Astyanax mexicanus: one gene and its partners. The main gene of each other region encodes a partner of the protein of the gene in region 4 in a complex. Links are inferred from orthologs where the notes say so. Each region holds a gene or a part of one and is shown on either strand. Other genes may lie near its edges.

The links. The genes of interacting proteins can lie anywhere in the genome.
Region 1: snrpd2 (region 4) and usp39 share a complex: the UniProt entries of both Homo sapiens proteins name them as parts of the U4/U6-U5 tri-snRNP complex. The link is inferred for Astyanax mexicanus from reciprocal best matches to the Homo sapiens genes SNRPD2 and USP39.
Region 2: snrpd2 (region 4) and gemin4 share a complex: the UniProt entries of both Homo sapiens proteins name them as parts of the SMN-Sm complex. The link is inferred for Astyanax mexicanus from reciprocal best matches to the Homo sapiens genes SNRPD2 and GEMIN4.
Region 3: snrpd2 (region 4) and serine-threonine kinase receptor-associated protein share a complex: the UniProt entries of both Homo sapiens proteins name them as parts of the SMN-Sm complex. The link is inferred for Astyanax mexicanus from reciprocal best matches to the Homo sapiens genes SNRPD2 and STRAP.

The regions. Positions count from the first base shown.
Region 1 is NC_064429.1:1,325,731-1,332,716, reverse strand, and holds the start of usp39 (U4/U6.U5 tri-snRNP-associated protein 2), read right to left. Parts: upstream 3,018-6,986; 5' UTR 2,908-3,017; coding exon 2,859-2,907; intron 2,305-2,858; coding exon 2,241-2,304; intron 2,138-2,240; coding exon 2,043-2,137; intron 1,721-2,042; coding exon 1,584-1,720; intron 711-1,583; coding exon 558-710; intron 1-557. Other genes in the region: c22h2orf68 (UPF0561 protein C2orf68 homolog), read left to right, coding at 4,139-4,248, 6,216-6,331.
Region 2 is NC_064425.1:16,115,369-16,122,396, reverse strand, and holds the start of gemin4 (gem-associated protein 4), read right to left. Parts: upstream 3,018-7,028; 5' UTR 2,813-3,017; coding exon 2,803-2,812; intron 1,760-2,802; coding exon 1-1,759. Other genes in the region: dhrs13b.2 (tapasin-related protein), read left to right, coding at 5,655-5,700. UniProt on the Homo sapiens protein: The SMN complex catalyzes the assembly of small nuclear ribonucleoproteins (snRNPs), the building blocks of the spliceosome, and thereby plays an important role in the splicing of cellular pre-mRNAs.
Region 3 is NC_064409.1:2,001,709-2,009,510, reverse strand, and holds the start of serine-threonine kinase receptor-associated protein, read left to right. Parts: upstream 1-4,785; 5' UTR 4,786-5,018; intron 5,019-6,262; 5' UTR 6,263-6,280; coding exon 6,281-6,392; intron 6,393-7,172; coding exon 7,173-7,308; intron 7,309-7,470; coding exon 7,471-7,552; intron 7,553-7,802. Other genes in the region: etnk1 (ethanolamine kinase 1), read right to left, coding at 2,195-2,344. UniProt on the Homo sapiens protein: The SMN complex catalyzes the assembly of small nuclear ribonucleoproteins (snRNPs), the building blocks of the spliceosome, and thereby plays an important role in the splicing of cellular pre-mRNAs.
Region 4 is NC_064416.1:9,430,608-9,438,469, forward strand, and holds the start of snrpd2 (small nuclear ribonucleoprotein Sm D2), read right to left. Parts: upstream 3,007-7,862; 5' UTR 2,879-3,006; coding exon 2,877-2,878; intron 1,582-2,876; coding exon 1,402-1,581; intron 142-1,401; coding exon 1-141. Other genes in the region: foxg1c (forkhead box protein G1c), read right to left, coding at 4,908-5,636. UniProt on the Homo sapiens protein: Plays a role in pre-mRNA splicing as a core component of the spliceosomal U1, U2, U4 and U5 small nuclear ribonucleoproteins (snRNPs), the building blocks of the spliceosome.

The sequences.
Region 1 (6,986 bases), on a different chromosome or scaffold from region 4:
GATTTTAGGAGTCTAGTGAAACTGTCTGAAACTGTGAGTGTCTGTCAGTTTGATACAAAGGAAAATGTGCACTGACCTAACGTTCCATGGCGTGCCTACCAGAGGCAGATTTTATGTGCAAAACATAACTTATTGCATAAACATATCTATGTGCAATAGTAATATGACAAAAGTTGAATGAATTTTCTTCTGATGAAATAGAATGTATTTATGTATTTCGTAACATTGCAATAGATATTTCAGACAATCAATATACTGCAATGCAAGCAAAAAAGGCTCAAATCTAAATGTTTTCAGTGTAAACAAACAAGTCCTTCCTGTCCTTCATTTGTCAATGCTTCCAGAGGACACTGTACTCAAATCACATCTAGCAAAGTAACTGATCATTACTGGGCCAAGACATGTGGTATCTTCTACAGTACATTACAGTAGTGTTTGATAGTAAAAACTACCTGAACATTTGACCTTCATTATAATAAATAAACATTTATGTTAATGAACGATCGGCACCCTTCATCTCAGATGTGCTAACAAGACTGAATATTGGAAGGTAATACCTGTAGAACTACGTTGGCGTAGTCATTAGCCTTGATGTTGTTGAGTCCCACAATGCCAGGCAGGTAAGTTGTGCCATCGTAAGCCCTGTACAGTTTGCCCTGCTTGTCCAAACTGGAGATGTGCTGTTTGGTAAACGTTGGCTTCAGAACATACTGAAGACAGAAACACTTCATTAATATTCTGATAGAAATATACAGAAATAAACTAAACAAAAATAACAATTACTGAGAAAATTATGCCAAAAAAGCCACAGTACAGGTATGCGATACACGCCCTCTACGCTAACATGGTCATTAAGCATAATTCCATCTTTAAGCTTACATTTCTTACAATTGACAAAATCAGTAATTATTTTTCTTTATTTAATATTTTAAAGCTGTCTTCAAAAGAGGAGTCACATGAACTAGAATTTTAGTTAATGGGACTCCTCTTTTGAAGACAGCTTTAAAAAATTAAATAAAGAAAAATAATTTACTACTTTTTTGCAACCTTGCAACAGATTAATGTATCGAACTATATATGTATATCTCGGATTTCCAGATTGTTAATGGTTAATATATGTAGGTTTTTTTTTTTAAAGAAGTAATTAGGTGGTAAGGCTTGCTAGAGTGTGTCAGTGTGATATCAAAAAGAGAAATAATCAATTTGACTCTTTCACATGAAGGTGTGTCACACAGCAAAATTATCACAGATTTCCTTCAGCTTCCTTTTATTTCTGTCTATAAATAAAGGTTAGTCTACAGATACAGGAATCACCAGCATAAACTCTTGTGCCCATACTGCTGTATGACGCACCCACACGTGAAGGGGAGTCAGATTTCAGGTGTTTTTTTCCTTCTTCTGTTGCTGCCTGAACCAGATTCAGGTTTATGTTTAGTTGATCCAAACCTCTTTTTGTCAAAGCAAATACTGGTCTGTTGGAGTAGGCTTTGAAGCATCTGCTATTTTGCTTCTGTCCAAACTGAATAGTCCAATGTTCAGAACCAAACAAGGTAGATGTGAAAGCACCCTTAATCTCAACTCACTGTGATGTCCTCCAGCGATGAATCAATGATCTCGTAATTGTCTGGTAGACAGTAGAACTTCAGTGTATGCAGATTTAGAAAGACATGATGTGTGAACTGAACACTGTGGGTGTATGCATGGGACTTCAGGCCCCTCCCTATAACACACACACACACACACACACACACACACACACACTATTTTACATCTAATGATCCGAGTTTTGGACCACTGCAAGTGGCTTTAATTGACACTTGCGTTAAAGAGTTAGATGCTGCTGTTTTGACCACTGTGCCTTGTAGGCTTTTCTATAAACCAGCAGCCAAACCATCCACCTCAGACATGGCAAGATGAAGAATTAAAACTGAAATGGGCCAAACACTCATTTCACACTAAATTTACAAAGATTAACAACAAAACGTTCTGTATTTTACGCTCCATAACAAAAACTTCATTGTCTCAAAAAAAAAATGACTTACCTTGGAAATACTTTCCACAGATCAGACAGGCATAAACATTTATGTGAGAGAGAGAGATTGAGCACAGCTTTTCGAAGTCAAAATCCAAAACGCTCCTAAATAATAAAGAAAAACGAAATTGCTTAGAACCGTACCCTCCTTTTACTTCATATAGAAATTAACACAATTTATGCCAATTAATACATCCTCTATCCCAACCTGTTGATTGTGTCAAGGTATGGACAGTGGCGGCTCCTTCTGTCTGGAACTTTCCCCCGGACCTCTGAAAATCAGGCATTGATAAAATTCTTATGAAAAAAAATTACTCCCACAAACACCACCACCCCACCACAATGTCCACCACCACCCCCACCATGTCCCCAGCAAAGCTTCAGATATTCAGATGTTTTACACACATATGCTGGTGAAAGGCTAGTTAGTTAGTTGACTAACGCTAGCTAACCTAGGTTACATGCTTTAGTTTAGGATCAGTAGAAAAGTAACAGCCACTTGTTTACATGCTTTGGTGACCAACTAGTTAGCTAGCTAATTAGCTATGTTAGCTAGAGAACTAGCTTTATAGCTAAATGAAGATGTTGGTGGATTATCTGTAATTCTGGATTTAACAGTAAAAGGAAAATCCTGTAATATCAGTCTCACTGATGTTGGTTTTAATAAAAAAACTGAATTAGATTAAAGCCGCTCAGAAGGTGTGCAGGAGGCGCGTGCACTGCTGGTTAGCCTGCCGGTTAGCGGTTAGCTCAGCTAGGCGGTGTGTTCTGCTGCTACTGTTTGTAAAGTAAAGCGGTTCTGCCTTTAGAGGTTCCTCTACTTTACCTTCCTCCTCCTCATCCTCAGCATCCCGCTCCCGCTTCACTCCAGCCATAGCGCTGTTTAATTAAGCCCGCGGAGTTTAAATCCTATGAGGGGTCAGAGCACGGACTGCTCAAACTAAACACAAACTCCCAGCAGCCCCCGCGCGCCCCGCCGGAACTACTCTCACACCCCACCGGAAACAACCCACCGATCAGCACTGTAAAAATAATCCTGATTCTGATACAGTTAAAACTGATTTATTTAAAAAGTGGGCAGCAAAATCCAATATATACAAATACGTATCTTTTACCGCACAGCCTTTTATTCAAAAATAACATAACTTTTCTCCCATGTGAATACTATAAATATTTTCTTAAAAGCAATATTGTCATATAGTACCAATTGGTTTTATGTAATATTAAATTTTATGAAACACTGATTTTGGGTGTTTCATTGGCAGTAAGCCATAATCATCAACAATAAAAAAAATAATAATAAACACTTATGGATGTGTAATACATCTATATAATATATGAGTTTCACATTTTAAACTGAACCATTGGATTGCATTCCAATGTTCATTTTAAATGTTAAAACCATCACCCACATACTTTTTTGCATCCTTTATGCACCCCTTAACTTATTCTTTGTAATGTTCAAACGCTTGTGTTTCTCTTGACCTGTTGCTCACACTGTGCTGCTGTTATGTTGTTGCTGTTCTACTGTTCTAAAAATGATAAATTAGTCTTTTGAGGTAATTCTTTCCACAAGTCCTAAAGTGTCTATTTATATGATTCGAGATCTGGAAGGTTCATTCACATTGTTTTCAGATTAGGCGAGATAAAAAATGAACGCAGAGGGTAAGACGCCTCCTTCACTGTTATTATTTAGTAAATGAGTTTTGTTATCAGCCTTATAGCAGAAAAAGACTAAGACTAATGCGCACCACCTGCGCAATCTAGCCCTCAGGTTACTATACTATAGTGTTTGTTTAATATAACATTGTTTTAATAATTTATATATAATGAATAATTCATATATATATATATATATATATATATATATATATATATATATATATATATATATATATATATATATATATATAGATATATATATATAGATATAGTTAGAGGGCGCTGAGTATGCGGGGGGGGGGGGGGGGGCTGTTGAACAGTAGGCGGCAGCAGCGCTGAACAGAGCTCAGTCCGCCTCAGCGCTACAGGAAGAAGAGGATGCAGGCAGTGAGAGGTCTGTGTGTGGGGGGAATGCGCGCGTGTTCTCCGCTTAATCTTTAAATTATGGAGGTTCTGCAGGATGCTGAGGGGGAAGCTCTCAAATATAAACCCGGGGGCCGCTTAGACATGAGCCACGGGTTCCTGCATCACATCCGGAGGAATCAGATCGCGAGGTAAGAGTCGGAGCTGCCAGGCTAACAGTCCGCTAGCGCAGCGCAGCGAGCCGCCGCTACTGATCCTTACGGTGGCCGAGAAAGCCCAACGCAGTGCAACTTGAAAAGCGCTGCAAAAGCACAAAACACATCCATCAAAATTACAACACAGGCGCAGCAACTAGAAACACGCGCTGCAACTAGAAAAACGCGCTGCAAATAGAACCACAACACAACGGAAGTGAGTCACAACACAACGGAATTTTCCCGGGGGACCTTAAAAGATACTGTACCAGCTAAGCTGCGTCTTCAGTAACGTCTCGGACTTCACTATGTGTACAAAGGACAATAAGTGGCAAACAAGGCGTTTTGTGAAGCAGAACTTTTAATAATATGCACACAACCGTGGTAATCACAGGTAATAAACATAACTTACTTTTCAGAAGCTTGTTTGCCACTTACTGTCCTTTGTATACAGCTGGTACAGCATCTTTTAAGGTCTCCCGGGAAAATTCCGTTGTGTTGTGACTCACTTCCGTTGTGTTGTGGTTCTATTTGCAGCGCGTTTTTCTATTTGCTGCGCCTGTGTTGTAATTTTGATTGATGTGTTTTGTGCTTTTGCAGCGCTTTTCAATTTGCACTGCGCTGGGCTTTCTCGGCCACCGTAGGATCCTGTACTGAGAGCTTTAAACAGCTGCTGATACTAACACTGCCTCACCCCAACACTGCCTCACCCCAACACTGCCTCACCCTACACTGCCTCACCCTACACTGCCTCACCCAACACTGCCTCACCCTACACTGCCTCACCCTACACTGCCTCACCCTAACAATGACTCACCCTACACTGCCTCACCCTACACTGCCTCACCCTACACTGCCTCACCCTACACTGCCTCACCCCAACACTGCCTCACCCCAACACTGCCTCACCCCAACACTGCCTCACCCCAACACTGCCTCACCCAACACTGCCTCACCCAACACTGCCTCACCCTACACTGCCTCACCCTACACTGCCTCACCCAAACACTGCCTCACCCCAACACTGCCTCACCCTACACTGCCTCACCCCAACACTGCCTCACCCTACACTGCCTCACCCTACACTGCCTCACCCTACACTGCCTCACCCCAACACTGCCTCACCCTAACAATGACTCACCCAACGCTGCCTCACCCAACGCTGCCTCACCCAACGCTGCCTCACCCTACACTGCCTCACCCAACACTGCCTCACCCTAACAATGACTCACCCAACGCTGCCTCACCCAACGCTGCCTCACCCAACGCTGCCTCACCCTAACAATGCCTCACCCTAACAATGCCTCACCCTAACACTGCCTCACCCTAACACTGCCTCACCCTAACACTGCCTCACCCTAACACTGCCTCACCCTAACACTGCCTCACCCTAACAATGACTCACCCTACACTGCCTCACCCTACACTGCCTCACCCTACACTGCCTCACCCAACACTGCCTCACCCAACACTGCCTCACCCAACACTGCTTCACCCAACACTGCTTCACCCAACACTGCTTCACCCTTCACTGCTTCACCCTTCACTGCCTCACCCCAACACTGCCTCACACTAACAATGACTCACTAACACTGCCTCACCCTAACAATGACTCACCCAACAATTGCCTCACCCCAACAATTGCCTCACCCCAACAATTGCCTCACCCCAACAATTGCCTCACCCCAACAATTGCCTCACCCCAACAATTGCCTCACCCTACACTGCCTCACCCTACACTGCCTCACCCTACACTGCCTCACCCTACACTGCCTCACCCTAACACTGCCTCACCCTAACACTGCCTCACCCTAACACTGCCTCACCCTAAGACTGCCTCACCCTAAGACTGCCTCACTGTAACACTGACTCACTAACACTGACTCACTAACACTGACTCACTAACACTGCCTCACCTCAACACTGCCTCACTTACAGGTTGTAATGTTTGTGTGTTTTTAAAGGGATGATTATGATAAGGAGGTGAAACAGGCTAAAGAGCAACAGAAGCGCAGACACACCACCGCCCCGCGTCGCCCCCGGAGACCCGACCGAGAGGTCTACCACCCCCGCCTCCGGAGTAAGAGCTCAACCCCTAAGCGTTTACTGATGCATCATTTCTCTCTTTTTATTTTGGTTCAGATACATTGTTAGGAGCGTGTGCGGTTTGTCATGAAAATTCCGGTATCTGATAATTATTTATTATCAGATTTATTATTAAGTGTGTCTTATAAAACTGGAAACTGGATTTATCTGAAACAGAAAAAGAGGTTATTAAACAGAACTGTGAACACTGCTTCTTAATTAGAGTATTTACTTTTATTTGTTTTATTTGTTTATGTTTGCATATATTAAAAATATATATAATATTGATATATAATAGTATGCACTTAATATTCTGCACGTTCATTTTGCTGCAGATTTTTATTTTTGTTATACACTGCTCAAAAAAATAAAGGGAACACTCAAACACAATATAACTCCAAGTAAATCAAACTTCTGTGAAATTAAACTGTCCACTTAGGAAGCAACACTGATTGACAATCAATTTCACCTGCTGTTGTGCAAATGGAATAGACAACAGGTGGAAATTATTGGCAATTAGCAAGACATACTCAATAAAGGAGTGGTTCTGCAGGTGGGGACCACAGACCACTTCTCAGAACCTATGCTGTCTGGCTGATGTTTTGGTCAGTTTTGAATGTTGGTGGTGCTTTCACACTCGTGGTAGCATG
Region 2 (7,028 bases), on a different chromosome or scaffold from region 4:
CTGAGGCCTGGCAGCTGTTGGAGAATCTGTGCAAGAAAAGTATGAGCCCCAAGGTTCACCACAGCCATGTGGCAACATCGGCCCAAAGCAGCCTCAGGGTTCTGGAAGGCAACACGAGCTACGGCTGAGACTGCCGAGCTCAGGCTGCTTTTCGCCTGAGCTCCACCCTGAATGATGCTGTTGAAGGCTAGGTTGAGTTCCCCATCGTAGCCTGCTGTAACAGAGCTCGGAAGAAATCCATGTAAGCCTTTCTTGGACAATTTAAGGATTTCAGAAAGTGCTGCATTCTTGTCAGGCAACAGAAGCTGGGAGAAAATGTCCATAATAATGTTTTTCAGTTTTTTAGACTGATTTACGTCAGTATCACCCTGGCTTTTGGCTATAAGAGTAGAAACCAGGGTCATAACCAGGTCTTTTTGCTGGAATGCACTTTTGTTTCGTTCGAGACAGTTCAACCACTCTGTCTCACTGATGGCTTGGCTTAGTTTGGAGGCATAGAGTTTAGGAAGGTCCTGGAAACCCTGCAGATTACAGTCAAGAATGGCTGTAGCAACACTTGCTATTTCAGTTGAGGGGCTTTCAGACATGCTAAAAGATGAGGAAGCTAGCAAATCAGTCAAAGCCTTTTTCAAATTAATCAAGGCCTGTCCATTTTCATCTAGATTTTCAGATTTCATCCGCTCTAAAGCCTCCAGGACTCTTTGCAGACTGTCTTTGAGACGGAATGCGAGGACACTTGGTTCACTTGGTTGGTTGGACATTGTCAGCAATGCCTTTGCTTCCCATGAGCATATTATTCCAAGTAGCGTCTCCATGGCTTGTGCAAAGGTCATTCCGCACGGCTTGCTCTGAGCTGGAGTTAGTGTGGCCGCAAGATCTCTCTGGGCTTCAAATATGGCCTGAGCAAGTTCAGCTCCCTCCAAGACAGAATTCTTCCTTCGCTGGCTTACTGGGCGAGCAATGTTTTGCAGTTTAACTTCAACTGGGAGTTCCACTGCATGATCTAACATGAAGGAAGTATACAGCATGTCTAGGCAGTTGGAGAGACCAAAATAACACAGTCCAGGAGAGGTTATACACTCTTTTATGCTGTTCAGTGTCTCAAACAAAAGAGAAAATATGCACATGTTGGGTACAGCAGCTTCTGGGTCTGGTTTAAATCGCTTTGAAGCCTGAGATGAGCAGTCTGAGGTGATCTGTCCAAATCGTATGCACTGGGCACTAAAGATTTGGTCCAGATTATCCAGCGATTCCCTCCGTCCCTTCATCATCTCCCACCACACCTCCAGCAAGAACTTCACATCCTCCTCTTTGCAATCACTTGAGACATGTTTCGCTAACCTCTCCAGCTCTCTCCACTGCTCAGCTTCTTGAAAGCACTGGAGCAATTCAACATAAATGCTGTAGAAACCCACTGATTTCACCAACTCAAACATAACCACATGGTTTATATCAGGTAGGCTGCTTTGAACAGAAAACAGTGGATTTTCCTTCCACTGGACATCAATATCCTCTCCTGTCTCCATCTCCAAGATCTTGCTCCATACTATACAGAGAATCCTTTTTCTCCAGTTAAGCTGGTCCTGGTTGCCTCCACACCGCTGTCCACATATCTCGGTGACTGCTTGAACTACTGGCCGCCCAACTCGCTCCCAGTCCTCTTTTCTCAAAGCAGAGAGAGGTGCTGGCTGGCACAACTGATTAGCCAGCAGAAACCCACCCTGCAGGACAGCAGTCTTCTCACAGCTCAGCCAGGATTCTGTAGGAAGAAGACACAAAACAAATTCAATTTAATTTAATGTAGATTAGAATCTGTTCTATATTGTACTCTGATACATTCATGACTGCACATCTCACAATCCAAAATAGGCAGCAGATTTGCAATTTTTACAATATCTAACAGGACGTTATGTGATTACCTAGGTACATTCTATGTTTTCAGTCATCAGTTTTATTGGTTTAAAGCATGAATGATTCAGTGCACTAAAACTTACAGATTTACAAAGAGGCAACATTTGTTTTTTAAATCTATAATACAACCAGTTGCTGCCAATTCTTCTACAATTAGAACAAATAAAGTATTGATTACACAAAATAACAGGCTGGTTCTAATGGTGCCAATCTCACCCACAGTAAATGTAAATGTAAAAAATGTAAATACAGTTTCAATGCTGCAAACATAAATATATTTTAGTCTTAAATGTGTCAACATTTCTTGATGAATGTACCACCAGAAATTATCCAATTTACTTCCTTTGAAAGTCAAAAAGGTTTTGTCTCTCTCCTGTACAGCTGCTGTTTCTGAGATTCATGTTTCACATTGACAATTATTGCTTATTATATAGTAATGATTTCACACGAACAACATATGAGGCGTTTCTTTGATTTTACCAAATTAAAAACCTCTGGAATATAATCAACAGGAAGATGGATGATCACAAGCCATCAAACCAAGCTGAACTGCGTGAATTTTTGCACCAGGAATGGCATAAAATTATCGAAAAGCAGTGTGTAAGACTAGTGGAGGAGAACATGCCGAAAAACCAGGGTTATTCCACCAAGTATGATTATGAACTTGTTTTCTTTGCATTATTTGAGATCTGAAAGCTCTGCATCTTTTTTGTTATTTCAGCCATTTCTTATTTTCTGCAAACCATTGCTCTAAGTGACAGTATTCATGTTTGGAATTTGGGAGAAATGTCCGTAGTTTATATAATAAAACAACAATGTTCATTTTACTTAAATATATACCTATAAATAGCAAAATCAGGGAAACTCATTCAGAAACAGTGGTGTATTTACCTTGGTCCATTTTGTTATTCAGCCGAACAGAACCATGTGTTTATTCTTTAGTCCGTTTGGTCACGTGGTTTTCGTGAAGATAATATCGGTTATTTTAACCTACAGTTTAACAGGATTAAACCGGTTATTTACAGCGAGTGTTTTATTTTATCAGCACGAGGACAGAACTGAAGTTTCCCACCGAGAGCTGTTCGTAGGAGCAGAGAACCTTTAGAAACGAGAATACACACTACAGAATCTCTTCCGGTTCGAGCAAAATCAGAGTTTATTAATGTTTAATATTTTTTTTCTGTGAAATGTACTAATTTTCCCTAAAACAGAACAATACTAAATGTTTCTGCAGTGCAGACATGATTTTCAAGCTTATAAACTCTAGTTATAACACTTTAAACTCATTGTTCTGGCTGTATCTCCAGCATCAGCTCTCTAACCAACCGGTCAGCTCACAGTGTAGCATCAACGCTAGCGTGTTTACTCCCCAAAACCTGTTTAGTGTAGAACAACAGACATATATAGATAATTTTAGTTTGCCCTTTTAGCAACATATTTTGTTGTACCTAAATTATATGAATATCCTAGTTAGTTAAAAATAGCTAATTACTATTTTTTACTAAAGTTTTAACCATTTAGCTCCATTCACCCCTATTCATTTTGGACTCGCTCACTGGCTCCCTCTAGCGATTCACATTCATTTTCTACAAAGGAAGTGGGCATGCTCGCCATAAACCGGCTCTTGCAGGAGCAGAAGCTGGTTTGTGTAGAGAGCATGCACACTTTAAAAAAATGACTGTTAAATCTGGAGTCAGCCCGCGAGCGAGTCAAAAATTAATGGGGGTGAATAAAGCTAAAATGCTAAAAAAATACAGTAAAAAATAGAAATTAAGAACTTGCTCAAGATATTTATTTAATTGTAGAAAGTAGAAAGATGCATTATTAAAAAAAAGTAAAGAAAACTTATCTATATTGTTCAGTTTTTCTTCAGTAAACAGGTTTAGGCAGTTAACACTCTAGCATTACTGTGAACTGACTGGTTGGTTAGAGAGCTGATGCTGAATTACCGTCAGAGCACTGAGTCAAAAAGATTTATAAATAGCGATTTAAACCTAAGAGAAAAACATATGAAGGTTGGGCATCCTATAAGGTAATGTTTCCTTATGTCAGTTTGTTAGACACACTCTTGTTGTTGTGTAATTATATATATGCTAATTAAAAGAATACAATTACTGTATCAGTTACTGTATTTCTCTCCTAAATTGTAATTACAAAAGTTCGGCTGTTGTAGTTAATTTTGCCATACAGTTTATTTAAAGCTATTTAAAGTATTGGGATTGTCTGGTCTCCCTACCCTTGTTAAATTGGGTAAATGCATGTGTAATATTTGAAAGATTTATTGCTAATATAAATAAACTATATTACCTGGCACAGCAGTTAGTCTGCGGTATTATTTTACATAAACTTTGCTACTATAACTTTACCTCAGAAAATGTTTCCCCCTTTATGCAGGTTGAAGTGCATTTACTTCTTACACGTACAGTACTAGTGTGCCTTATATTATATATATATATATATATATATATATATATATATATATATATATATATATGTTTTTTAATTTTATTCATACAGTTGTTTACAGCAGAATACAGAGTTAAACTGGAGTGGATTTAATTTACAGTAATTATGCTTATAAACAATTTACAATACCATTTCACCCAGTAACTCTAACACTGTCTGCACCATCTTTACACTGAGAACACGGTGGTTCCCTGTGTAAAGTGGTTCCATGATTGTTTAATAAAACTGGAGTGGATTTGGAGTGTATTTATGAAGTGGCTCCATAGGAACCCATTCATTTTGGACTTACTTTGGAACGCCCCCTGGTGGTTCAACAAACCCAGACAACATTCAGAAGTGCGTAATCTCTCCTCTCTACTAAAGATTCTCTGGTTAGAGTTGCCAGGTTCGTGGTTTTCCCGACAAATTGGGCTTGTTTATAAATCCAGTCGCGGGTAAAACATTTTTCGGGCTACTTTTAAAAATTACCGCGGCCGCCAAAAAACAAACAAAAAAATCTCCATGTAACCAGAAATTACAAGGCGATTTAAAAAAATGTTAAAGAGGAAAAAAGAGTTTTCAGGAAGGGCAAAAACAGAAAAAAGGAAAAGTCAGTTCTTTCTTTTTTTTAGCTAATTATGTTACTATTAAATGTTCTTGACTGGGATATAAAACTGTTATAAAATAACTGATAAAACATCAATGATGTTACAATATTGTTAATGACTTCAAGATAAATAGCACTACTGATAATAAATCCCGTATAAACAAAATACTAAGTCGTGCACTCATAGTTGTTTTGTCATTTGCTTCAAACGTGTGACAAAGCTAGTTTAAGATTCTGAAGGGCGGGTTTTAGACTGACTTTGGGATGGATATTTTTATTGGACCTGGCAACCCTGTCTCTGGTAGGTAAGCATAAGCTTCCCAGACCAATGAGAGCAGAGATGATAGAGAAATCTGTCGGAAGTTTATAACTGGCGCCCTCACGTGGCCAGACTACTGTACATGTACGTGTGTCATTTGTCCACATTAATTTCATACACATGTATATTCCTCTGTCAGTTTGATATGATAGATTAGTATGAATTAATGAATAAATGATTGAGTGAATAAGTGAGTCTGTCTGTTGGTCAGATCTTCCTGAAGCCCCTGTAGATCAGAGGGGTGGGTGTAGGTGTGGGAGGGACTGGGAGCAGCGCTGAATTGAAAGTGAAAGCAGATCAGTGCAGTAGTTACTTTGTTAATTTGCATGGCGGTTTGTTCGCGCTGGAGGTGTCCAGGTGGTCGTGTTTATCATGAGTGTTGTGTTTGGTGGTCTTTTCCTCGCAGTGTTAGCTTCAGGTAAGCTGAAGATGGCTCGAGGTCTGGTTAATGTATGACGTGTCTCATAAAGACACACAGGTGCATATTGAAGGCATGTTTTTCCAGTAGACTCCAGTGTAAGGTGTATAACAATATTATCCGTTTTGATATACATGTAAATATATACTGTACTGTAGGTGTGATGTGTTTTAGGACATTGTTTTCATGTCTAATGTATGTGTCTATGTTTTAATATAATCTAGTGTTAGAATTACTACTTGGGATAAACTTGCTTTCAGTTTTGATTCTCCAGAAGCAGGGGACTTTCTCAACTGAAAATATAAGGCTAGAGCCCCACACACTAATGGTGACCTTCTGCATGCTTGTTTATATTTAGAGATATTATATTTAGAGGTGGCACTGAGAATCAGTATCAGTTTATATGTGACATGCATGTTGAAATACTATGTTGGCAAAAGTGTTGGGACACCTGCTTGTTCATCATGAATTCTGCTTCTGTTGAAGTAACTAGCTAACATTGCTATGAGGATTTTATTGCATTCAGTTTCGAAAGCAGGATGTTGGATGAATGATCACCACCACATCTCATTCACACCCAACTCCCAAGCTTTTTCCCAAAAGTAATGAGTGGAGCACCATCATTCCAGATAACACATTTCAAACACTGCTCCACAGCTTAAAACTAGGGAATTCATTAATGGGCCATTTGTTGTTGTAACTCTTGCTCTTCCAAATGAAACTTATTTTTTTTTATCTTTTTTTCAACTCTGAATCTAATAGCACATATTTAACTATTCAAAACATGTGCTGGTCAATCTCAGACAGCTTTACTTAATTGTTTACAAGGTTTCTGAGGTGAAGATGGTTTCAAACTCATGTGACATTTTAAAATTATGTTTAAGCGCCGAGTGGTCCAGTGGTCTAAAGCGCTGCCACTATGAGCGGTAGGTCGCAGGTTCGAACCCCAGCTCATGCAGCTTTACCATCAAGCTGCCGGCGCTCAGAGGGAGCACAATTGGCCCTGCTCCCTCCGGCTGGGTAGATGGCGCTCTCTCCCCACATCACTCCTACGGTGATCTCCACAGCACAGGGCGTCTGTGAGCTGATGTATCAGAACCGAGTCACTGCGCTTTCCTCCAATCGCGCTGGCTGCTTGGCAATGCTGCATCAGCAGCAGCTCGAAGAGAAGCGGTGGCTGACTTCACATGTATCGGAGGAAGCATGTGTTAATCTTCACCCTCCTGGGGAGAAAATGGGGGAAAAAAAAGTATGTTTTAAAATAAAATACAATTTTTTTTTTTTTTTTTTTAAGTTGACCGGATGTTCAAGTGTTGAGATTGCCCGTC
Region 3 (7,802 bases), on a different chromosome or scaffold from region 4:
AATCATACATCTTCTGTAACAGTTACAGTAAATCTGTTCAAATGGAATATACTGAATGTATGTATTAATATATTTTTATAATATATTATAATACATTTCTTCTTAATAATAAGTCAGGCATCAGGAAGAGTCTTAACTTGAATGGAAACTGAATGTATTTTTTATGACACAGAGCTTCTGGAATGTATGTCATCACTGAATGAATAATTAGACACTTCTAGAAGGAACTTGTACTCAACTGTATATACTTTTAATAGCTCCTCTGTGTGATTTATATGACAAAATCTGAAGCAAATATGATTAAAAGTTAAAGATACTGAAAGCAGATTATAACATGTAAAATCCCCAGTGTTACACTGTTTATTACATGTTTAAAAGCGGGTGTAAAACTGCAGGATGACCTGTAGGCCATAACATTTATCAAGTGGAGACACTAAAAAGTTACGTCCTGTCTTTGACCCACTGGTGACAATTGTGATAGTGATTTTTTTGGGGGGAAAATAATATATTTTTGCATCATAAAACCCTGCATGTATTACAGACGTAGCTAATAATGTCTCTTATGTGTAAAACATTTGTGTGGTATCCTTTAGAGGCTTGTTAAATGCTTTATTCTATAATAAAGTAGCTCTTTCACCTAAACAGAACCTGAATAAAACCTAAATGACTTTCTTTATGTTCTAATTTATTTATTTTATAGGGAACAGAGCTTCTGGAATGAATGTAATCATTGAATGAATAAGAAGAAACTTCTAGAAGGAACTCGTACTCAACTGTATATACGTTTAATAGCTACTCTGTGTGGTTTATCTGACAAAATCTGAAGCAAATATGATGGAAATCTAAAGATACGTTGAAGGAAGGTTATAGCATGTTTATTTTAGAATCTATGTGTCTGCAGATAAAATCTCCAGTGTTACACTGTTGTTACACATTTAAAAAGGGGGGTTGAAACTGCAGCATGACCTGTATACAGGTCAAAAACCTGATATCATGACAGGGCATAACATTTATTCAGTGCTGCCCCGTTTTTGACCCAGTGTTGCTGATAGTGATAGTGATATTTTGGGGGTAAAACTCTTTACAATGAATGCAGTTTCTGAGTGTATGTACTACAAGTCTAGCTAATAATGTCTCTTATGTGTAAAACATTTGTGTGGTATCTTTTAGAGGCTTCTTAAACTGGTTTATTCCTTAATAATGACGCACTTTTACCTGAACAGAACCTAAATTCCTTTTTTATGACACAGAGCTTCTGGAGTGTGTGTTATCATTGAATGAATAATAATATATACATGACTGTATATACTTTTAATAGCTACTTTGTGTGATTTATCTGACAGAATCTGAAGAAAATATGATTAAAAGTTAAAGATACCTTGAAGGCTGGTTATTAACATTTTTTTTAGGATCTACGCATCTGCAGGTAGATAAAATCCCCAGTGCTACACTGTTGTTACACGTTTAAAAAAGGGGGTGTGAAACTGCAACTTGAACTGTAGGTCAAAAACCTGTTATTATGACAGGGCATAACATCTATCAAGTGGGGACACTAAAATGTTATGTCCCGTTTTTGACCCAGTGGTGCTGATAGTGGTTTATTCCTTAATAATGACGCACTTTTACCTGAACAGAACCTAAATTATTTTTTATGACACAGAGCTTCTGGAGTGTATGTTATCATTGAATGAATAATAAGACACGACTGTATATACTTTTAATAGCTACTCTGTGTGGTCTATCTGTCAAATTCTGAAGAAAATATGATTAAAATCTAAAGATAGAGTGAAGGCGGGTTATAGCATGTTTATTTTAGAATCTACCGGTTTATAGGAAGCTAAAATTCTCAGTATTACACCGTTTGTTACACGTTTAAAAAGGGGTTCGAAACTGCAGAATGACCTGAAGGGTGTGTAGCTATATGTATCTATAGGCAGATGGGTTGTTACATTGTTACTTAGTTTGTTACTTTGTATCGTGCACGGCCCGGGGTTTGTTACTTTGTATCGGGTACGGGATTTACTAGTCGGTGACGCAGCTACAATCGCAGACTTGTAAGGCGATGCACGACCGGCCGCACGCGCCCCCTGCTTTATATAACCTGCCTATATTCCGTACAGCCCCCGCGAGCGGCTCCAGAAGAACGGGAGGCGCGCGCAGAACAGATCTAAACCCGTAAACTCCGCTCGGTTACCTTCATTTTGACCTCCGCTGGTTTCCAGTGGGGTCGGAGCTCCTCGATCAGCCGCAGCGCTCCCGGTCTGTAGTCGTGATCGTCTACGCTCACGTTGAGTTTGGGCACGGCGGGAGCGCCCTCCGGTACGTGGATGTAGTTGGTCTCCATGGCGGGGGGTCGCTGGCGGACAGGCGGCGGAGCTGCGGAGGTGAGCGCGCGGGTGTGGAGCTGAAGGGTGTGCGGGTTTGAAAGCGGGTCAGTTTTTAATGCGCCGCGGATCCGCCTCTACTGCTCCCTCCCCGCAGTTACTCAGCGCGCGGTGCATGCCGGATCTGACGAGTCACTGAACTGCGTCAGAGTTCTGGGATTAGGAGCTCATTCAGATTATAAATATAGTTTTTATTCAGTTAGAGAGTGAAGAAGACCCCAGATCTCTCAGCTCTCATCAACTGAATATGTGTCAAGAACTTAATGATCCAAAAAATGTCTGGCTTTCAAATGAAAAATGTATAATTTAAATATACAGCTCTGGAAAAATTTTACCAAATTGAAAACCTCTGGAATATAATCAGGAAAATGGATGATCACAAGCCATCAAACCAAACGGAACTGCTTGAAGCAGTGTGTAAGACTGGTGGAGGAAAACATGCCAAGATTCATGAAAACTTTAATTAAAAACCGGAGTTATTCCACCAAATATTGACTCTTAAAACTTTATGAATATGAACTTGTTTTCTTTGCATTATTTGAGGTCTGCATCTTTTTTGTTATTTCAGCCATTTCTCATTTTCTGCGAATGCTCTACAAGACAATATTTTTATTTGGAATTTGGGAGAAATTAACACTGAAAGCCACTGCTGTAAAAAAAGTAAGAATGGAAGAATGTTTTGTAAGTGGTTGAGACCAAAATAAAAGCATGATGTTTGGAGAAAGGAAAACGCTGTCCAGCGTAAAAAAAACTTATCTTATCTGTGAAACATGGTGTTGGTAGTTTTATGGTTTGGCCCTGCTTTGCTGCATCGTGTCCAGAACAGCTCTCCTTTATTGATGGAACAATAAAGTCTAAATGATATCAAAGAATTCTAAAGGAAACTGTCAGGACATCTGACTATGAACTGAAACTCAAGAGACGATGGGTTATGCTGCGAAACTTTTTTTTCAGTTTGGTTACCAGTAAAGGAAGGACTAAAATAGATTAAAATAGCTGCTGAAATTAGCATTGAGTCGTATGGAAGCCCATTTCCAAAACCTGAAGAAAAAAAAACGTCCTCAACTAAGTCATAATTATGAGTTAGAAAAGTCATAATTATGGGATAGTAAGTCATAATTATGAGATAGTAAGTCATAATTATGAGATAGTAAGTCATAATTATGAGATACTAAGTCATAATTATGAGATAGAAAGTCATAATTATGAGATAAAAAAGTCATAATTATGAGATAGTAAGTCATATTTATGAGATAAAAAGTCATCTCATAATTATGACTTTCTATCTCATAATTATGACTTAGTATCTCATAATTATTATTTTCTATCTCATAATTATGACTTACTATCCCATAATTATGACTTTTCTAACTCATAATTATGACTTAGTTGAGGACGTTTTTTTTTCTTCAGGTGGCGGAAATGGGCTTCCATAGAGTCGAGATTAAAGAAGTGGAAAGACACGCTCACAGACTCAAACTGTCAAACTGATAGTTAACAGGGTTAGCTGGAAGCAATATTCACCAACATCAGCTCTATCATACTAAGTTCAGTCAGAAAAAAGTAAAGGATAAAAACTAATTCTAATCTATATAATATAAGATTGATATTAGCCTGTAGAAAAAATATATATTTACACTGGTTACTTTAATAATTATTTTTTTAAAACTTAAATTTATAAATTGTGTACTTTTATACTTAAAGTAATTTTGAAACCAGTATTTTTACTTGAGTCAAAAGCTTGAGTTATTTTCGATTACGATTTACATTAATTTTATTATTATTTATTTATAATATATGGAAGCCTATTCCCAACACCTAAAAAAACAAAACTTTTTTCTTATTATTGAGATAGTAAGACACTATTTTGAGACACTATCGATAGTAAGTCATTATTTTGAGATACTATCTCATTATTTTGAGATCTCATAATTTTCCAAAAGCAAACACTATCACAGAATAATGACTTGTGTCTCAAAATAATCACTTGCTATTTTAAAATAATGACTTAGTATCTCCAAATAATGAGATAGCAGTTTACTTAATATAAAAGTGAATTTTAGGTGGCGGGAATGAGCTTTCATAATAATTTTATGTTCCAAAATAGGAGCAAACACCAAAATAATCGTGGATAGGAACTGTTGAGGAGGACAGTACTGAAGGAGCACCAAAAGGCAGCACTAATCGCTGCCTGAGTAACATATTCACACTGTTCAATAAGCAAATATTATGTTTTACATGCAATTAAATTAGTATACGATGTGTTGAGTGAATTTATTGATTAATTATCAGTGGGTCTGTGTGCTGAGTGTGTTGTTTCAGCTCGGTTGTGTGTGTGGGTGTGTGTGAGAGTGTGTGTGGAGCGCGGTTTCCTGTCGGTGCCGTTATGTGTGTGAGAGCTCTGCGGCCTCCGGCGCTTTGGGCTCTGGCTGTAGCTGTAGCTGCTGCTGGTGGCACAGCACTTTCAGTGGGTGCGCACCTTCTCGCTGTCGCTCTTTAAAGAGTTAAAGTTCCATCCACAGCGCTGTTCTCCTCGAAACAAACCCTCTATATTTATATATTTACCGGGCTAGAGGTCTTGTGTGTGTGTGTGTGTGTGTGTGCGTGTCCGTTCATTTGCTGTGCCTGTACGAGGTAGGTTCATACACTACACCGGTAAGCAGAGCTAGCTGAACTGCGCTAAGCTAGCTTAGCTAATGGTAGCTAACTACTGTGGCTACTGTATACTGCGTGGGTAAGCTAGGTTAACTAGCTAGCTTATCTACGTTATTCTGTGTAACGTTACTGTACATTAGCGTTATATGTGTTAGCTAGCTAGCTTAGCGAATGTGACTACTGTATACTGCGTGGGTTAACTAGGCTAACTAGCTAGCTTATCTACGTTACTGTGTCTACTATATACTTAATATAATGTGTTAGCTTAGCTTACCTACAGTCTTTGCTGTGTGCTGAGGGTGTTCGCTATAGCTAGCTAACTGTATATTAACGCTATAATTGTCAACTAGCTACATAGCTTAGTTACTGTTGCTTTAGGAGTTGTACTGAGTGTGTTAGCTACCTAACTATCTAGCTTAAGCATGTTAGTGTGGGTTAACTAGGCTAGCTAATTAGCTTAGCTAATGAGTCAACTGTATATTTCGTGGGTTAGCTAGGGTAACAAAGTTAGCTAGTTAACTAGCTTAGCTACGTTAGTGTGTCTAATGTATATTAACGCTATATTTGTTAGCTAGCTAACTAGCTTAGCTAAAGAGTCTACTGTATATTACGTGGGTTTTCTAGGCTAGCTAATTAGCTTAGCTAATCAGTCAACTGTATATTACGTTGGTTAGATATCTAGCTAGTTAACTAGCTTAGCTTCTGTGGCTAATGAAGTTATACTGAGTGTGTGTTAACTAGCAAACCTAACAAGCTTAGCTACGTTACTTTGTCTCTTGTTTATTAACGCTATATGAGTTAGCTAGCTAAGTAGCTTAGCTAATGAGTCTACTGTATATTACGTGAGTTACCTAGCTAGTTAACTAGCTCCGCTACTGTGGCTACAGTAGTTACACTGTGTGTGTTAGGTTAGTTAGTTAGCTAGCTAGCTAAGTAAATTAACCTAGCTTAGCTGCTGTGGCAACTGTATACTGCAGGTGTTACCTAGATAGTTAGCTAGCTAGTTTAGCCAGCCCACTGTTTAGATCTATCTAAATTACGTTTGTTTTTGGCACTGTTTTTCAATAAATATGTATGATATTGTTTTTAGCGTTTTAACTAAGTTTTTGGTAAGTCTTTGGTAATGTTTTCTCTTATCCAGCTCAGTCCAGAATCAGGCAACATTAGCTGTTTGTTAGTTAGTATTTTAGTGACTAACCAGTTCTACTCTTTAATTTCTCCAGGTTTATCTGTGTTAAAGAATGGCTATGAGGCAGACTCCGCTCACCTGCTCAGGCCACACCAGACCTGTTGTGGATCTGGCCTTCAGTGGAATCACTCCTTATGGTTATTTCCTAATAAGTGCTTGTAAAGGTAGGTTTGGATTGTTCAAGTGAACAATTTTAATTCAAAAGAAGTGAAAAGAATAGTGGTGTATGTGTGTCACAGACCCTTTAACCCATAAGTACCAAAATAAAAATTGAATCAGATAATTCAGTGAGCAGCTCATTAATGTTTGTTTCTGACTGTGGGAATATGACTGTCGAACAACCATTAAGGATTAGATTTTCTGTAGAAACTTGCGTCATCATCAGATGTTAAAGAAACATGCTTTAAGAAAACACATTAACACACTGTCCTGTAAAGTATGTAAAGGACAGATTGCTGTAAGGAACATTACACATCTTTTAACCCCAAAAAGCCAATGGTGATGTATATATGTCACATACCCTTTAAAAGTTGTGTAAAGATCTTTACAGCACTACAACACTGTCCTTCACTTTCTGCACAGGGCAGCCAGAGTGTGAATCTGTATTCGTTCATCTCATCACCATTTTCCTATTTACAGGATGTATGTGTACTAAGTTTAGAGATAAGTTCTGGAGATAAAATAGCTCCTTCTTTTAAAATGTAGTATTGGGTTCTAATGGTCTGTTCCAACCATTTAACCATTTAAAATTCGTCTTAATGATAGTTAGTAATTTGTTGTCATTTATGTTTCATCATGAGTTTAACCTTAAAATATTTACAGTCATGATCCCACTAGTCTGGGCTCTTATGGGTTAACTTGTAATGATAAGAGAATTCTGTAATCTCTGTGTCTGTTTACCTTGTGCCTTTTCCCAGTATTCGTTATTTGTTTGGTCTTTGCAGATGGCAAACCGATGTTGCGCCAGGGGGACACAGGGGACTGGATTGGGACGTTCTTGGGTCACAAAGGTGCTGTTTGGGGGGCCACCTTAAATAAAGAAGCCACTAAGGCGGCTACTGCTGCTGCCGATTTCTCAGCGTAAGTGAATTGTGGCGTATTTATGCTTTTTTCTAAATTGACCACGAAGGGACTGGAAGATATTTATATTATTATAGTGGGTTATGCCCTTGCAAGTGCCATTGCATGAGCGGCATCTGTGTCTGGTAACTAAGTTGTGTATTTTGTCATCTTGTCTTACAGAAAGGTGTGGGATGCAGTCACTGGAGACGAGGTCCTCACCCTGGCACACAAGCACATTGTTAAATCTGTTAACTTCACGCAGGTAACGCCCAAATTGAGATAAAGAAATACAATAGGAATTGGAACATTATTTTGCTACTTCTAGGAAACACATACACAGTACACCTATACACAGGTACTTAGCACAGCATTGTGTACATGGTCAATTGTTTGGAAGCTTATTTTACATTTTAAGTTTAAGTTTTTACATTTAGTTTGGATTTTATATATATAGTTACATATCACTGTGTATAGCTCTGGATGTAAAATAAGAGACCACTTAAAAATGATAC
Region 4 (7,862 bases):
ACGATGACCGAGTCTCCTCTCAGGAACATCTTGGAGATGTAGCGATCCTTATTGACTGGTTTGGACTTCTTCTTGCCCTTTCCACTTTTGGGCACCTCTGTCCACATCTCCTTCACATTCTCCAGAACCATGTTACAATGCCTGAAAGCAAATAAAACACAGAGAGACTGTAATCCACTAACAATCACAAACACCAGTCTATCTGCCTGGGTTGGTGTATATATTAGGGAAAATTAAACAGTTTTTGGTAAATTCTGTGCAAAATTAATTGGTTTCACAAAAATATGGTAAAAGGTGGTAAAATGAACCAGACACGAAAACTGTCAAGTTTTTTTATAAATAAAAAAAAATAATTAACATGAGTGAGGAATCCATATAAAGATGATATATGTTTAGACTTTCTATTATTTTACCATCATGAATGTTCCATATAAAACTCAGACACGTGCAAGTTCACTAGTACTCCATTTGCATTTAGGTCATGGCAACAACTGGATCACTTTATTGCAACTGCAAAGAACTAATAGCCCTTAAGTTTCTTCTCAATTAATCACAATTTCACACCAACCTCACTCTGCAAAATGTTAAATGGAATTTTATAAATTTAATACAGTTTTCACATATTAAATTATCTATTTTATCCCACAGGAAGAAGCAAACAATAACACTCAGAAATTATCTATGTCAATATTGGATCAGATTAGTTTTTGCCAGCCTCTAATTTAATCTCATATCCACCACAAGTTTTTGTGTTCACTCATCATCATCATCATCATCTTCATCATGGCCTTAAAGCCCCTCAAGAACACTTACCAAAGGTCAAATGGCCTCCAAAATGGTACTCGAATTACATATTCCACATGATGAACACAAAAGCAGTTTAATAGAGATAGGTAGTACTGTTTCGAATATTTTTATTGCTAAATATTTGTACACAGTAAATCTATATAATCTGGTTTGCAGCTCAGAAGGACAACTCAAATGACAGCAAAGTGAGTGCAAATGCTACAACATCCCCATTTATAGGCAGGGTTAAGTGTAATGGTTGGCTGTAACAATTACTGCACTAAACAGTCAGTTCAGTTGTATACTAAGTGCAGCAGAAAAGTGAAAAAAGGCTCCTGTTTCAAATACTGTGCATTTAATTTACACGACAACATAGAAAAGCAAATCACAGCTCCAACAAACTCACTCAGACTTAATTGCAAACCTGTTTAAAATACATTAAGCCACCTGTGTACAAACCATCAGTCAAACAATGCAAACATACAAACCATTACTTACACACTGTAAAAGTGTTAGAAAATACCTTAGCCTGGCTAGCACCTGCTTCACACCAAGAATGAGATTAATATAATAGAAGAGCAAATTCTCCTCTGCACACAGTTCAGAGTATCGTACCTGTCAAACGCCTTCACTCTGCCCAGCAGTTTCTTGTTGTTGCGGCAGTTAATAAGGACCTGTGTGTTGTTTTTGACGGACTGTGTGAGGACGGACAGCGGCCCCGTGTTGAACTCTTCCTCCTCTCGCTTCTGAAGCTCCTCAGGAGTCATCTCAGACTTCGGTTTGTTTAGGAGACTCCTGAGACACAACATGTTATTAGCATTTGTGGAGGAAATTGGACACTGATTGGTTTGAGCACAGTATATTAATCTTAAAAAACAGTGTTTAATTAAATAGTTTTAATTATAGTTTCATTTTCCCCTCACATATTACTATAAATTAATGTTTAATATTAAAATAAGTTAAACTAGGTTCGGATTGGCTCTTTAAACCAGTTAACTAAACATCAAATAGGAAGGATTTCTTTTTAATGTTTGAAACCAAAATACAAAACTATGAAAACCAAGCATTAATTTAGTCACTAGACTATTGACTAATCGGGAAAAATAATCTTTCAATTAATCAAAAACTATATAATAATAAAGGTAAAAAGGTTAATTAAGCAATAAGAAAATAATTGTTTGCTTAACTGATAAAACCAAGTATTAGATTAAAAGTAAATGTATATATAGTAGATCAGTCTATACAATTGCATTAGTTTAATCTGTAAAAAAAAAAACAGTAGATTACTCAATCGTAGGCTAAATGGTAGATTAATCAAAATAAATAATTGTTAGATTATCAGAAAAAAACTTTAGATTAAGCAACAAAAAATATTCAGATCAATCAAAAAAAAAAAAAAAAAAAATATATATATATATATATATATATATATATATATATATATATATATATATAATTTTTTGGTTTATTGTTTTTTTTATTGTTATATATATATATATATATATATATATATATATATATATATATATATATATATAAAAATAAAAGTAATACTTCGGTGCAGCCCTTAAACTGAAGTTGGCTTTTTGTAAGAATTGTCTATTTTAGCTACATTAATGGTGCAGAAGAATTGCTGAGGAGCCTGAATGTACAGATACTTCTGCCCCATTTAAGGTGGAACAGACAATTCTAATAAGCAGCTCACTATTCTTAATTTAACTCAGAACGAAAAAGCACAATACAGGAGTTAAATTGGATAACTAACGTAAGATAACTATCCAGCCAAGATTTACAACAACTAAACAGCAGAAGAGAATTATTAGAGAATTATTTAACATTATTAAATACGCTTATCGACATTTTAGTCTAATTTAAAAGTAGTTTTAAAGCAATAACACAATATTCAGGTCCTCTATGGGCATTAAATTTATTATATTTAAGTAGCTAAGCTAACACCTAACTTACAACTGCTAAATCTCATGCTGCTGCTTTTGTGTTTCTACGGCAGACGTTTAACTCCTGTAACCAGCCAGGCTTTCCCTAAAACACCCAAAATAACAGTAAAATCGTTTAATAATGTAAATACTCACATGTTTAGGGTAGTAAACTCTAATTTACTCTGGTATAAACGGATCTTTCTCTCTCTGTGGGTAATTCAGCTTCAGCGCGCGGGTCACGCTCACAAAACGCAGCGTTATGGCGCCGCTTCCTTCCGGGGACTTTTATTATATTTAATAAAATAATATAAAAAAAGTCCGGAACATGTTTTAGTTTGTCGTCGAATAAACGTTTAAAAGTCAGGAATTAATTTTTACTTTTTACATTTTTTGTGTTATTATTTTACATGTTTAGTTGTATTATATATGTGAGATGTATTATAATATATTATATATATATATATGTGTGTGTGTGTGTTTGTGTGTTTAGTAACAGTATGTGCTGAAAGAATGAGGTCAGCTGACTACCTGAATATACTGAATATAGACCAGATTGAATGAATGAATAAATTAGGGAGAATGAGATCATAATTTGCACATTTGGATAGTTCAGTCCTTAACCTCATTGAGAATCTTTGGGATGTGCTGGAGAAGGCTTTGTGAAGTGGTCAGACGCTCCCATCATCAATGTAAGATCTTGGTGAAAAAATAATGCAACACTGGACTGAAATAAATTGTGACATTGCAGAAGCTTGTTGAAACAATGCCACAATGAACGCAAGCTGCTTGGATGGAGCTGCTCGGTAGAAGAGTTAATCACTTGTTAATCCTACCTCTTATTCCACACATTTTATAGAGTGAAAATCTGCACACATCTGCAGTTTAGAAAAAACAGGAATTTAATCAGACAAATGCACAAAGACATTTATTTCACATACATGACCATCAAACAAATGCAAAATAGTTTTACAGTACATTATTTTGTTTTTGTAAAAAAAACAACAAAAAAAAACAAATAAAAGCAAAACTAAAAATATGTTTTAGTCCAGGTTTTTTTAGTTTGTTTATAAATATATTATACACCAACAAATATATAAACACAACAAAAATACATTACCATTAGATTTGAAGTTATAGTATGTGTGTATAGTTATATATTGGAAAATCCATGCAATTAGTCAAAATATAACTTTTAAGAATGATAAGCATTTACTCACAATATTTCAGGCATGCATTACATAAACCGTTTAGACCAAACGAGATAGCATTTTGTAATATTCAGGCTAACAACAATAACTTTCAAAGTGTACTGTGTTCTTCATAAGTGGTTGTTAATTGATGCTATAGTATCACAGTGTGTTCTATTGGTGTTCTAATGTGGCAAGGGGGTTGCTATGGTATTTTAGACAATACCATATTGCAATGTGGTTGCTAGATGTTTGTTTAGCAGTTCCAAAATGTGTTATAGTATTGATGTTATAGTGGGCTCTAGATGCCACATTGTGACAAAGTGGTTGGTATGGTATTCAAGTCATTTGCCATAATGTTGCATGGTGGTTGCTAGGCAGTTGCTATGTTATCCCAAATGGTTGCTTTGGCATGCAAAGCTACTATACTGCATACTATAGCTGTTTGCTATAGTAGACCAGGTGGTTGATATGGTGTTGATAAGATGGGTGCTACATTGTGACAAGGTGGTTGGCATGGTATGTTAGTCAGTTGTCGTGATGTTGCTTAGTGGTTGCAATTGTATCCCAGGTGGTTGCTAGGATTTGGATAAATGGGCTCTACATGGGGGCTACCTTGTAGCAAGGTGGTTGCTCAGGTTTTGAAGATTTTTTTCAAGATTGTTTTAAGTTATTGCTTAGTGGTTGGTATTATATCCCAGGCTGTTGCATTGGTATTCCTATGTGGTTGCTAGCTGGTTGCTTTGATATCCCAGGTGGTTGCTACAGTATTACAAGGTGGAGTCTAGATAACTACTACATTGTGGCAAGGTGGTTGCTATTGTATTTAAGATAGTTGCCATGATGTTGATCAAACCTTGGACCTTGAAAATGCTACGCAATTAAAAATCCAGCAGAACAGTTATGATAATAATATTAAGAAGAAGAATGTAAATCAGAACACAATATAGTAATAATATGAAATAATGAACAAGATTTATTTACATACAAATTTAATTTAAATACAAATGTGCCAATACGAGCTGGTCATGCTGGGATGATACGTGTATGCAGGGTGAATAAGGGCGGGGTCAGTGTGGAATTGCTGCAGGATTCCCATAGGGTGCGCTGTTCCCTCAGAGGGTATGGCATCTTTCCTGGCACTGGAGCAATCTGCCACCAGGGCAGGTTGGCCGGGCATTACCCCATTAGCACCCATAGCAGGAACCGAGGTTGGCACAAACGATGCAGTGCCCAGTCCGGCAACCTCGGATCTGGTTCCTGCCCATCTGTGACCCTGCTGGTGGGCAGACACTGGCTGCTGCAGTGCCAGGAATGATGCCATGGGCCAATAAAAGGAGCTGGGCAGTCCAAGCCCCGCCTTCCACTTCACTATCTTTGCAGACTTATCCGCCCGATTAGCCGGCTGGCACTGTGTTAGCTTGCCCGGACTTCCACCAATGTACACCTCACTGCACGGGTCGATCATCCAGTAGCTTCCCTTGCCCGGGTCGTCTTGTGGGCGTGGCACCCGGACGAAGCACTTGTTGAGGCTCAGGTTGTGGCGGATGGAGTTCTGCCAGCCCCGCCCCTTCCTGCTGTAGTACGGAAACCGCGACACAATGAAGTCGTAGATGCCGCTGAGTGTAAGCTGGCGGCGGGGGCTGTGGGCGAGCGCCATCACGATCAGGGCGCTGTAGCTGAATGGAGGCTTCTCCAGCAGGGGGCACTCCATTCCATCTGTCATTAAGGATTCCTTTGGGCAGGCCCTGCCTCTTTCAGGAGCCCTGAACATAGACAGGTGGAACACACTTTGTTTGATTGACATGTTTATAACAGCGATATCCAGTAAGAAGTTATAATAACCTTAAAGGAACAATCTGTAGTAAATGAAAGCAAGTGTGTGAAATGGCTGTTTTTGTGCGGTTGTGTTCTGTACCTGGCAATCCGAGATGTGGAAATGTATTACCGTTACATACCACACAGTTCAAATAAGAAAATACTGACTAAAGCTCTGCTGATAAGAGCTGTCGGTACTTTAACTCAGCATGGTTCCTTAATATCTGATGATACATCCTAATCATGTTATGAGTTACTTCAAAAATTTAATCCTTAATGGTCCTTTAATACCAATATTTAATATACAATCCATCTAACCTTAATATTCATAATATGTTTGCAATGACACATTGTAATTGTAATGACATAGTATCTGGCATTAAGTTCTAATAACAATAATATTCAGAATAATGCTATAATAATAAAATGATATCTAGTAAATCCAGTCTAATAGCATAACTATGCAGTATAAAATTATAATTATGTTAACATCCAGAATGAAGTTCTAATAGCATTTATATCCAGAATGAAGTTATAGTAATATTAATATCCAGTATGAAGTTCTAATTATGTTAATATCCAGAATGAAGTTCTAATAGCATTTATATCCAGAATGAAGTTATAGTAATATTAATATCCAGTATGAAGTTCTAATTATGTTAATATCCAGAATGAAGTTCTAATAGCATTTATATCCAGAATGAAGTTATAGTAATATTAATATCCAGTATGAAGTTCTAATTATGTTAATATCCAGAATGAAGTTCTAATAGCATTTATATCCAGAATGAAGTTATAGTAATATTAATATCCAGAATGAAGTTCTAATAGCATTTATATCCAGAATGAAGTTATAGTAATATTAATATCCAGTATGAAGTTCTAATTATGTTAATATCCAGAATGAAGTTCTATTAGCATTAATATCCAGAATGAAGTTGTAATAGCATTAATATCCAGAATTAAGTTGTAATAGCATTAATATCCAGAATTAAGTTATAATAATATTAATATCCAGTATGAAGTTCTAATTATGTTTATATTCAGAATGAAGTTCTAATAGCATTAATATTCAAAATTAAGTTATAATATTAATACCCAGTATTAAGTAGTTATTACATTAATAACCAGAATGATAGCATGCTAATGGCATTCTTATCCAAAACTTTAATAACATTAACATCAAGTATGAAGTTGTAAAAACACTGATGTCCAGTATGAGTGTGTATTACTTTTCTAATTACATTCATATTCAGAATTAAGTTCTAATAAGGTTATGAATGAATATCCAGAATGAGCTCAGCTGAATTCACACTGGATTTTAAACTGTATGAGATCTCTTTCTACACACTTTATCACACACTTGACCATACCTGTCTACCTGTACACAGGTGTGAGTTCACCAAGCAGCAGCCAGGAAAGCTTCCCCTCAGGGATCAATAAAGTAATATATACAGTGACAGCAGGAGGTGTAGAGTTCCTCATCCTGGATATCAGTATCACTGCACTGCTGGGATTTCAGTGAGTTTCTTGGGTTTGTCTGAATGCAATCCAAATTGATTATGAATTGAATTATTCTTATATTTCAGTTAGATTAATCAAACTAATTCAAACACATAATCAAAGGTGGTTGTAGAATGGATAAATGGATAAAGCATGCTAACAAATAAACAACTGAAAGCTCAAAGTAATATTTTCTCATTAAATTTACAAAACAGATGCATTCCAGAGCTGTCATATAAAGCTCTAGATAAAAATAAGAGAACATTTAAACAGTATGAGTTTCTTTGATTTTACCAAATTGAAAACCTCTGAAATATAATCAAAAGAAGATGGATGATCACAAGCCATCAAACCAAACTGAACTGCTTGATTTTTTGCACCTGGAGTGGCATAAAGTTATCCAAAAGCAGTGTGTAAGACTGTTGGAGGAGAGCATGATGCCAAGATGCATGAAAACTGTGATTAAAAATCAGGGTTATTCCACCAAATATTGATTTCTGAACTCTTAAAACTTTATGAATATGAACTTGTTTTCTTTGCATTATTTGAGGTCTGAAAGCTCTGCATCTTTTATTGTTATTTCAGCCATTTCTCATTTTCTGTAAATAAATGCTCTAAATGACAATATTGT